Arabidopsis thaliana: one gene and its partners. The main gene of each other region encodes a partner of the protein of the gene in region 2 in a complex. Each region holds a gene or a part of one and is shown on either strand. Other genes may lie near its edges.

What was found.
Region 1: TAFII15 (region 2) and HAF2 share a complex: the UniProt entries of both Arabidopsis thaliana proteins name them as parts of the TFIID complex.
Region 3: TAFII15 (region 2) and TAF8 share a complex: the UniProt entries of both Arabidopsis thaliana proteins name them as parts of the TFIID complex.

The regions. Positions count from the first base shown.
Region 1 is NC_003074.8:6,573,611-6,577,365, reverse strand, and holds the start of HAF2 (histone acetyltransferase of the TAFII250 family 2), read left to right. Parts: upstream 1-1,752; 5' UTR 1,753-1,813; coding exon 1,814-1,847; intron 1,848-2,083; coding exon of another isoform or gene 2,084-2,099; coding exon 2,100-2,324; intron 2,325-2,575; coding exon 2,576-2,667; intron 2,668-2,757; coding exon 2,758-2,932; intron 2,933-3,325; coding exon 3,326-3,755. UniProt on the Arabidopsis thaliana protein: TAFs are components of the transcription factor IID (TFIID) complex that is essential for mediating regulation of RNA polymerase transcription. Core scaffold of the TFIID complex.
Region 2 is NC_003075.7:15,354,504-15,358,258, forward strand, and holds the start of TAFII15 (TBP-associated factor II 15), read right to left. Parts: upstream 1,929-3,755; 5' UTR 1,688-1,928; intron 1,668-1,687; exon of another isoform or gene 1,301-1,667; intron 1,238-1,300; exon of another isoform or gene 1,221-1,237; 5' UTR 1,202-1,220; coding exon 1,109-1,201; intron 1,013-1,108; coding exon 948-1,012; intron 547-947; coding exon 484-546; intron 299-483; coding exon 247-298; intron 153-246; coding exon 102-152; intron 1-101. UniProt on the Arabidopsis thaliana protein: TAFs are components of the transcription factor IID (TFIID) complex that is essential for mediating regulation of RNA polymerase transcription.
Region 3 is NC_003075.7:16,426,193-16,429,947, forward strand, and holds TAF8 (TBP-associated factor 8), read right to left. Parts: upstream 1,819-3,755; 5' UTR 1,641-1,818; coding exon 579-1,640; 3' UTR 447-578; downstream 1-446. Other genes in the region: HDR (4-hydroxy-3-methylbut-2-enyl diphosphate reductase), read right to left, coding at 2,489-2,554, 2,642-2,728, 2,802-2,987, 3,076-3,170, 3,265-3,370, 3,440-3,514, 3,601-3,732. UniProt on the Arabidopsis thaliana protein: TAFs are components of the transcription factor IID (TFIID) complex that is essential for mediating regulation of RNA polymerase transcription.

The DNA of each region.
Region 1 (3,755 bases), on a different chromosome or scaffold from region 2:
GTCATATGACAATTATTGTTCTTCTTTTTCTTTTTGGACATGGATAATTATATTTTGTTTCATTTTGGTAAATTAGGGTCCTGTTCGTTTGCCTGTGTTCGTTTGCTTGTCTGTGTTCGTTTGCCTGTCGCTGACGACTGAAACCAGCGACAACGACCAAAAGTTGTTTGTTTGCATAGCGATCAAAAGTAACGACAATCGCCAGCGACCAGCGACCGCAATTTTTGGTCGCTGAAATTTTTAGCGATCAGTCGCTGATTTCAGCGATTAGTCGCTGGTTTTAGTCGCTGGATCCAACGACATGCAAACGAACAATTTAGCGATCAAAAAATATAAATTAAAGAATAATTAAAAATAATTAAATTAAACAGAATTAAATTAAATTAAACTTAAAATAAATGTCTTTTTGCACTCTGAACGGTTGTGTCTTTTAATCGCAACTTTCCGTAAAAAATATTGATGGTTGTTTTTTCTCGCTTGTGTCTTTTATTGCAACCTTCCTATATTGTAATTTTCTGTCAAAATATTTACAGTTATTTTTTCCGGTTAGTTATATATATACTATTGAATAACTACGAAATTTAGAATATGCATCATTTGGAGTTAGATTTGTTTTAAAGAAATTATTATATAAATAAATTTATAATATTTTTCTCTGCGATATCAAGAAAGGTTTGAGTTCTAGTTTAATTAAAATAATTCTTATTAAATTAAGTTAAAATAAATTAAATTCAAATAACATAAACTAATTATAGTCAAATTAAATTTGATAAAACTAAAATAAATAAATCTATTAATTTATTTTTCTCATGGTGTATGATATATATGATTTACATTTTGATTTTAAAATATAAATTAGTACCAAAAATAATTAATTTTAAAAAAAAATATAGCGACTGTTTATAGCGACAGTCAAACGAACAACACAACGACAATTATTAGCGATTGTTGATGTAATTGGTCGCTGAGTCCAGCGACAGACAATCGAACAATATATGTTGTCGCTGGTTGCTGTCGCTGGTCGTTGGTCGCTGTCGCTGGATCCAGCGACAGGAAAACGAACAGGGCATAGGTTTTGTTTGTTTTATTTAGTATTTCTAACGTAAATTTTAAAAAAGCGCCAAAATCTAGAAGAAGAGTAATATGCGAGAAAATCACTTTTACTCTTATTTATTTACTTGTCTTGCCAAATTTCCATCAAAATTATTAATTACTTAATTATATAATTTTTGACTAATTATTTACTTTATTGGACCCGGGATATGTAACTAAATGGGCTTTTATTGGGCTGTATTCTGTGGACCATTAATAAACATAATCTTTGAAGTGCAAAAAAAAAAATGGGACCCGGGACAACTAAATCAGAATCGGGGCGGGTTATAAACTTTTCCCTATAAATTACCACTCCGATGTTAATACCCGCCTCTTTGATCCCTCAGACGATTTCTTCTTTCCGTTGTATCTTCCAATCACCCGATTGAGCTCCGCTTCACTTCCTCCGGCTAAATGTGTACATACTCTCAATTAGGAAACCGCCAATCCCACATAACGTTGAATGTCGTCGTCTCGGTTAGATATCAACGAGGGTTTTGTTCTTGGTTCCTTACTAAACAACAAAATTTGACGAAAATTGGTACTTGGGTATGAACGTTGTTATTCCCTAATTGTACCGGAAAATTTGATGGTGGTATGTTTCCCTTGTAGGTTTTCGTTGAGTCGTGGATTTGTTCTTGCTCCTGATTCTTTTCAGTAGTTCCTTTGCTATTTGGGAAGCAAAATTGTCACGCCACTCTTTGCATTCGAGGGTTTTATTATGTCTGAGTCCAACGACAACGAGACTTCCGCAGGTTATATTTGCAGTTTCTTACATGGTTTCTTCATTAGTGTATTGCATTCTCCTAGTTTTGCTCTAGTCATAATCTACTTATTGTGGGATAATTTATTGCTCAGCGTTTTGAGTTAATTAAATAGAAGGTTTTTATGTTTGAGATTTTGATATACGCAACAAGTCCCACCCATAGCAGTTACAAACTGAAACTATTTGCCACTACCAATTCCCGGTCATCAGCTTCACTGACTTGTGATGATATGTCGTGTAGATTATGGGAGCAATGATGAAGAGTATGATGGGCCTGAGCTTCAAGTAGTTACTGAGGAAGATCACCTACTACCAAAAAGAGAGTACTTATCAGCTGCATTTGCTTTGAGTGGTTTAAATTCCAGAGCTTCTGTGTTTGACGACGAAGATTATGATGAACAAGGAGGACAAGAGAAGGAACATGTACCAGTTGAGAAATCTTTTGATTCAGAAGAGAGGGAACCAGGTTTGCTTTTGAAATTTCCGTTTCTTGAACAAAACGATTAGCACACTCTATTCTCTACTTTTGTTTTGTCATTTCATTAATCTCAGATTGGTTTAGTTTTCTCAACACTTATACTTGTTTAGCTCGGGAAAATAATCTCTTGTTAAGTTGGAGTCCAGTGCGTCATAAATACTAGAGATCAGAACTCTTGGAACTTTTCTTAGATTCCTTTTGTGTTAGTGATTATGAGACACTAAACATTATTTTCGCAGTTGTCTTGAAGGAGGAAAAGCCCGTAAAGCATGAAAAGGAGGCTAGCATCTTGGGAAATAAGAATCAGATGGACACAGGAGATGTCCAGGAGGTCAGCAAGAATGATTTCGGTGTCTCAGATAACATCTTTTTTTGTTGTGGAATGATTTTGTTCTGTTAGTGATCTCATTGAAACGTTCAGGAGTTGGTGGTTGGATTATCAGAAGCTACTTTGGATGAGAAACGTGTCACCCCGCTGCCTACGTTATATCTTGAAGATGATGGTATGGTCATCTTACAATTCTCTGAGATATTTGCTATACAAGAGCCACAGAAGAAACGGCAGAAGAGAGAAATTAGATGTATCACTTATAGAGGTATGTGATCTGCAACGGCTTCCTAATTTTGTTTATTCTCAAAAGCCTTTGAATTTTTTGTGCTTTCCATTGGGATGTTAAAATCTACAACAACAATGATTTCTCAAGATTTTCAGTATCTCCCGTTCAATTCTAAAAGCCATTAGGTGTCGAAAGCATGAGAAGTTTTTTGTATGTGGCTCTGTCTTTTCTTGGCAAGAATTTAGTAGATATGTATATTTGGTGCTTCTGAAATGATATACATTATTTTCTCTGTTTCTCTCGTTATCTCTCTGCATTGTTCTTTTCTGTTTGTAATTCATCACTTCTTTTAATGTAACTAGAATAGCTGAGAAAGTTCTATGAAAACAATTATCATATGAGACTCTTACATCATAGCCTTCTTTGGTACAGACAAATACATATCTATGGATATTTCTGAGCTTATCGAAGACGATGAGGAGGTACTCCTGAAGAGCCATGGTAGGATTGACACTCATGGGAAAAAAACTGATCAAATTCAGCTGGATGTTCCCTTACCAATCAGAGAGCGTTCACAGCTGGTAAAATCTGGCATAGTAAGGGATACTACATCAGAATCGAGAGAGTTTACCAAGCTAGGAAGGGATTCATGTATCATGGGTGAACTGTTGAAGCAGGACTTAAAAGACGATAATTCATCTCTCTGTCAGTCTCAATTAACAATGGAAGTTTTCCCTCTAGACCAGCAAGAATGGGAACATCTAATACTCTGGGAAATTTCTCCTCAATTTAGTGCTAATTGTTGTGAGGGCTTCAAATCTGGACTTGAGTCAGCAGGTATAATGGTACAGGTGAGGGCTTC
Region 2 (3,755 bases):
AAGTAAAAAAAAACAAGAGACATCTACATTTTCTTCTCATACATTGGAGGTCTGAGGGACAACAATACCAGAAGCATGAACTTAGAGGAAGAAGCATTTACCTCACGCAAAGCTTTTGAAAGATCTTCCATTGTCAATACCAAACGCTTATCCTGTTAAGGAAACATTAATATTCATGTCATCATCCAAAACATATTTGTTGCAGTCTTGCAGAGGGAAAAAAAACAAAAGGGAGTCAGATGTTACCTTTTGCTGTTTTTTGTCTTTCACAACTGGTGCTGGTCTAGCCTTGCAATGCCTGTATATAATTGACAATTTTTATTATTCAGGAGCTTATATCAATGCTTTTAGCTTCTGGGAAAATCTAGCGTAGACATCTTTTCATCTCATCTACTCAGAATGGGCAGTGTCTTCTCTTTCTCAATTACAAGTCAAATATGAAAAAGGGTATGATAATTCGTTGTGAAGAGAATGAAAACTTACTGAAGGGCGTCACTGGCAACATCTGCAACAAACTTTTGTGTAGCCACAGCAACTAGCCTTATCCTGTCAAACAAGTAAACAAAAAAACAGAATATTGGCAAGAATAGATACAGGAAAAGATTATGACAGGAGTGAAAAACTCAAAAACTAAAATATACCAATATTCAGCACTCAATTTGATAGAAAGAGAAGAATCCCCTCATTATTCTACGCATTCAAACTGAACTCTGAAGTTTACATTCAAATTGCCAATCTTTTTCAGTGCTAGTCCAACATAGACTTCTTTATCATACCATTTTACAGGAATGTTAAACAGGGCAAAACCTTAATCCAAAATGATTTAAACCAAGCCATTGATCTAACTACTGGTCACCCATTCTAAGACCCAACAATGATTCCATTCAATATCAACTTATCTGCTCTTTCATTGTAAGTATCAGATATAACTTGTCGGAAATACCTACAATCGTACGTCGGGGCACTGAAATCCACTCTTAGCCAAGTAGTGCTCCACTAAATCATCAGGAATCTGAAAGAAAAATAAAAATCCAGAACTCAATCAATACCCAAATTTCAGTCATGTAGAGCCGAGAAAAAGTTGTAACTAGTACAAAGGAAAGTATACAGTAGGAGTATAATCCATCAGAGAAGCAAGGAACTCTGTAAGAGCAGCATCATCTTCATGCTTTGCCTCACCAGATTGTTGGCCGTGATTCATCTCTCCCACCACCAGAGTACTGAAGCGAAGCAACAACTGTAAGTAAAGAAAGGTTTTCAAAATCAAACATTAATAAAGAACCTCTGAACTAGTATCTACCTCAAATTAGAAACTTGTACGAAACCTAAGAAAGAATGTCATGACTCATGACACAATTATACCAAAATAAGTTTTACGAGAATTTTGACTACTGAAACTTTCCAGCTCAATTTACTAATTCTCTGTTCCAGATTTGTCTTCTCGTATGACATTATTGTTTCTAAGTAACGAACTATTCCTGATTTGTGTTGCAAAAGACCACACCAAGTTTTGAATTGAACGACGTGAAGTAAACTAAGAGGGCTCTGATTCATCAAGAAACAGCATTCATGAGCAAAATTCGATACCACCCAAGAGAAAATTCAACCGAAAAAAAGACAAAATTGAGCTGAAATTGAAACCAGAGACATAGAGGAAAAATTCAATAAAGTAAGCGATAATGCGAACCTAAACGAAGCAGCAACGGAAGAGAATTGAGCTGAGACGAGGCAAATCAATGGTAAAGAAGAGAAGTTTCGACGGATTTCGGGCGGGTAGAAGAAAGGATCGGAGATCGACTAGTGAGTCTCCGTTGAAACCCTAATCCTCCGACTGGTCCAACTCAGAGCCATCTCCGCCGGTCAGATTTTTAAGAGTTGAGAAAGAATCGTTAGATAGACTAATGGGCCTATTGATTTAAACTATGGCCCAAACTTAAGGAAGTATTCTTCACATATGGCCCAAATTTAGGTTTTTTTTTTTCCTTTTTCACAATCCATTTTTTATTCTCTTCCCATAAAATCAATATTTGAGTTTAGTGTATCTAAGAATATCGAAACGAAATTGTCAATCAATAAAATCTCAAAAATGTAACTTTAGTGTATAGTGTTGTACAATCTGCTGTATAGTGAGCTTTAATTTGATGGGAGACAAAGAATATGACAATGAAAGCACTAACTCCATCTAGACGGAATATTTAATGACCAACAAAAGCAGTTTTTGTTTTTCTCATTTGTCAACTCATAGTCATTAGAAAAAGACTTAAGGGTAGTTTTATATATTCTACGAGAAGCAGGTGGTAAATTCAGTGAAGAAGGATTGGACTAATTCTCTCCATAAAAACATAAAAGAGAGATATGTATATGATGATACTTTATTTCACGGGATTCCATTTGTTTGTTTGTTTTTGGTTAATGGTGGATTCCATTTGTAGGTAAATTAATGGATAAATACCAGATAAATAAATCCATATTTTCTCAAATATGCTTCTTAGACGCTACGTATTATGTATTTACATTTAAATCATTTTCCAAAAGCTTTTTTTTTTTTGTATAAAACCAAAATAAGAGACAGTTTATTCAAGAAGCTAGTTTACCTAGTTATATCAAAGGGGCCAATCAGAATCTAATGTAAACTATATCCAAGTCTCATTGTCATGGAAAAAGGTTTGATTTAATTTGACGATTTTTAAAAAACGGTTGTTCAATCGCGGCATAGGAATATTTTTGGCTATAGGCTAGGACAAGCTATATGGATTGATTTGAACTTTCTCTTTAATTCTTTTCATCAAATTATGGAATATTATATTAAAACCTAGATATTTTAAAGAAAAAGAAAAATTGTATGCAAAAATTTAATTTACTTTTGGAATACGGATTCTAAATTTTTTTGTTGTTTAAAATAGTAAAGAAAAATAAAATATATCAATGAAATCAGGAAGAGGCAAAACATGGTGGCCAATCAAATCGGTTTACTTCAGGCGATCGACGAGCATTTCTAACGAAGCAATGTTCATGTGATCTCAATGGAATATCGACTGTTGTCAATGTGATCGTAACCATACTTTTAAGTTCTGCACTGTATTCTAATTTCTACACAACTATGTTATCTCAATTTTTAACTACTTCCTTCATTATTTACCTCCAGCAAGTGAAAATTAAAAGACCGATAGACAAACAAAAATACATAATCTAGTAAAACAAGTACTAAAAATCTAACATGGTAGAAGAGAAATTGTGTATGTAGGTTCTTTGCAAATAAATCGTGTGTATACTGTATAGACTGATAGACTATTCCTTGTTTGGGGAAAAATGGCTATACACTTATAATATTTTAGAAGTGTCACAAAATAGAAAACTATTTTAAAAAGTAACTTTCTTGGATCGAAAAAATAATAATATGATATATGGTAGGGAAATTTTTACTAATTTTATTAAATTTAATAGGAAGTATCATAAGCACCCATATAGATATGCATAAGTTTGAAACAGAAAATTTGTAGGTACGGTTAGTCGGCTATAAGAGTGGCTTCAATTTGCTTGATGGATTTTTTGTTTTGATAAAATGGTTTGTAGATGGACTTTATTAATTTCAAACATACATTACACTAGTTAAGATAACACCACTTAATCAAGTAATATTTGTATAATTGTAGTTAACTGAAAGTCGTGACTCATGTGTTGTTGTAGGGTTGATTACTACTTTGGCTTTAGATTTCCTCTTTTTTAATCGTACTTTAGAAAATTTGTGGTGCATA
Region 3 (3,755 bases), 1.1 Mb from region 2:
GGAATCTGAAAACTAGGGGTGTTAGTTAAAGGAACTGTGATAGGATTCAGTTCTCGTAAACTCTTAAGAGGCTTGATTAACGAGAGAAGTAAGTCTCTTATCTATCGCCCAGTGTCCAAAGCAAAATCCTACATTAATCCACAAGGCCCCAACTCAATAACCTAGCTTTCCTTTCTAACCTCGAGCTCTCAACTAATTGACATAACATAATCTTAATTCTGATACAGTGATATGTTTCACACCCCATAAACATCACGAAGCAAAACACATGTCGACCAAAGAAAATATACTTACCTCAGACCACTTGACTTGGTTTGGAAATATAGCAATGATACAAGACTAAACTCCTTCCACACTGGTCCCTGGCTCCCACTCATGAGACATGAAACTGAAACTAACATTAAGTTATGTAACAAGAATCTCATGAGAAAGACATCATATCAATTGCCTAAAAGATAGGTTAGAAATTCTCATTCTTTCAGTCACAAAATCATAATCATAACATAGGCCTGTATAAAGAAAGGTTACAAATCACAAGATTAATAGTACGCTACACAGACTGTAATGAATCACTTATTTTACAACTGATTGAGGTCTACTGGGTTCTCCATACACTGTCTCAAAATGAACTCCGCTCTTCTTCTTTTGTCATCTCTATCCTCCTCACGCACAAAGGATATGGGTCTATCTTCACCCTTCATCTGTAGACTTAGATCCAAAGGTTGTCCGAGAAATTTCTTCTCGGTTCTGAGCTTAGAAAGAGCAACAGGTTTATTCTTCTTCCATTCAGTGTGAGCTTCACTAGAAAACCCATCTCTTGCAGCCTCCATAGCAGGAGCAAATGCCTCTATCACTGATAAGCCATCTCTATTCAATGATTCGACTTTCTCCCCGGACGATACAGAACGCAGTTCACTCTCATCATCTCTCATTTCTTCTTTCACACCATCCATATCTCCCCACACAGGATTCCTTGAGGAGATTTTACAAACAAGTTTCCTCTGCAAACTCAACAAAGCTCTCTCAGCCTTTCGTCTCTGCCTCGCTTGTTCAATCTTATCTCCCCTTGGATCTGATACTCTTTCGATCCACATAGGGGTTTCCTTATAAGTATGAGGATCAGGAAAAGCTGGTAGCCACAAAGGAATATGTTTCCCAGGTGGAGTTTCACCAATTTCAACAAAGCTTGGGATCATCTTCCTACTCCTATCACTTATAGCTACAGGAAAACTTGGCAATGGCTGCGAGAAAGGGACTTCTTCACTCGAATTAACGAAATCGATAATCTCCCTAAGTTTAATCGAACGACCTAATGAACAACTCTCAGACGAAATTCCTTGTTCGCCATTGTTATCAGTCAAATCATCCAAAGCGAGAATGATATCGAACACGTTACACTGACTCCTACCAGTTAGATTAGCGAAGGAAGTAGCGGTTTTACCTAGCTGAAGAATGTACTGGAGTGCGAATCCAGATAGAGATTCGAGAGCTGGATCCTTGAAATTCTCGTACCCAACGCTCTCGCAGACCTGAGCTACTGCAGCTTTAGCGGCTGCGTGGCTAAACTCGTAGGACTCGGAGCAGCCAGAGGAAGATGCGGCATCGTTCCTATCACCTTCTTGAGCTCTCTCTGTGTTCATTGCTCTAATTTGTTTCAAAAAGCTATCTAATCCCTGAAATTAGGGTTTTCTCGTCGGTAAGACCACATGGACCGCCGGTTTAAAGAGAATCGAAGAAATTTGCCTCCGTCAACGGAAAAGACCTAACGTCGACGAAGCACCGGGAAATATGAAGAGAGAAAGAGAGACAGAGAGAAATGCGTCTTGAGAATCCTGCCATCTCTCGCTTATATAGAGCTCCAACCCCAAAATTAACTACCAACTTTTTTTTTTTTTTTTAGACCAAAATTTTGGTTTAAAATTAAACAAATGTAAATTGTAGTAATCATAACCCAAAAAATTATTGGAAAATTTTATAAGAAATTGGCGTGGCTGATTTTGTTGAAAATAAGTTTTTCTGCGGTATTTCGTAAAAATTTATGAAGCTATTTTAGAAATTCGGATGAGTGATTCTGTTGAAAATGAGTTCTCCGCGATATTTCATTACATTGTTTTGAAAATTTTCCAAACATAACGAAATATCGCGGGAGAACTCTTGACAACTTCCCGAGTTTCGTTACATTAAACTATTTTAGAAACTCTTGTGGCTCGATTTGTTGAAAATGAGTTCTTTCCCGATACCGCGGAGATTCATAACCTAGTTGTTTTAGTGACAACTTCTCGATAATGACAGCCTTACACAGTCTCAAGTTCTATATCAGTCTAATTGCGATTATGGTAAGAACATTAAGTGGAGTAAGATAACGAGGATGTTGACTTTGAATTACAAAACCTCTTACAAAAGTTATAAAGACAAATCATACAACTACATATATTTTAGTACACTCTTGACATGACAAATAGTATTTGAATACGATCACAATGCCGAATCAAGCCAGCTGCAATAACTCTTCACGTTTAATGTCGAACACCTTCACCAAAGCATCTTCCACGACCTGTAATTTTTTCACAAATATTTTCACTCATGTTCGTGTGGGAAACAAGAGAACCAAACAAAAATATAGCTGCAAATATATATATACCTTATCCGGGGTTGATGCACCTGATGTCACACCGATTGTTATTGGTCCCTTTGGGAGAAAGTTTTCCTTCTCGACCAGTTCTCCATACTATCAATGTAAAATAGAAAAAATCAGTGAATGCAGTTTGGTAAGGAGTAAGTTAGTTTTGAAATGCGCTTACGTGGAGCTTATAGGCTATTTTATTCCCAGGTCCTATCCGTTTCTCACTATCGATCCAGTAAGATGGGATTCCCCGTGCCTCTGAGATTTCCTGAAGGTGAGAGGTGTTACTTGAATTCCATCCGCCAACCACTAGCATGAGGTCAATCTTCTCTTCCACTAGCTCATAGATTGCGTCTTGTCGCTCCTGAAGAGATTATAGTATTGATGAATAAACACTTCCTCAAGTGTAAAACTTGTCTAGATGCATGGTTTTTGAGGTATGGGAATTTTACTTGAGTAGCGTCGCATATTGTGTTGAAGCTGATGAAATGTCCGCTTACATTTTCCACTCCATACTTGCGCATCATTGTTGTCTCGAGTAATCTTCCTGTGGGGTTTTTGGCATGAGACTCAAACTAAGGTGTTTTTGTTTCCAAGGATAAAAGACGATTGTCATGTAAAAAAACGGTAGAGTAACTAACCTATCTCCTCTGTTTCTCCCTTTAGCATCGTTGTTTGGTTTGCAATACCAACTTTGACAAGGTCATTGTCGGGATCGAAACCCTTCGAAATTGCGTATTTGAATTTCTACAACGCCAACATAGAGATTAGAAAAACCAGAATGATACAAAGAATTAGCAAAATAAGCTTACATACCTCCATGAACTCCTCTTTTGTGGAGCTAGATCCATCGTATTGGCCACCGAGAATGTAATCACAAACGTAATTTGCCTGTGCTCAGTAATAAGGTACCCCATCAGTAACACATCTTGCAAAATTCTATGGATATCCAAAGTTTGACAATATAAAAGTCACACCTCTTTCATGTTCTTTACAATGATGTACTTTCCTGCAAAAGACGCAGTTGCAATCGTCTCTTCATGATTATATTTACCATGGATTACTGATGTGTATTCCCCCTTCTTGTGCTTCTCAACCGTGTTCCAGACCTTTAGAGTCACAAATGTCAAAA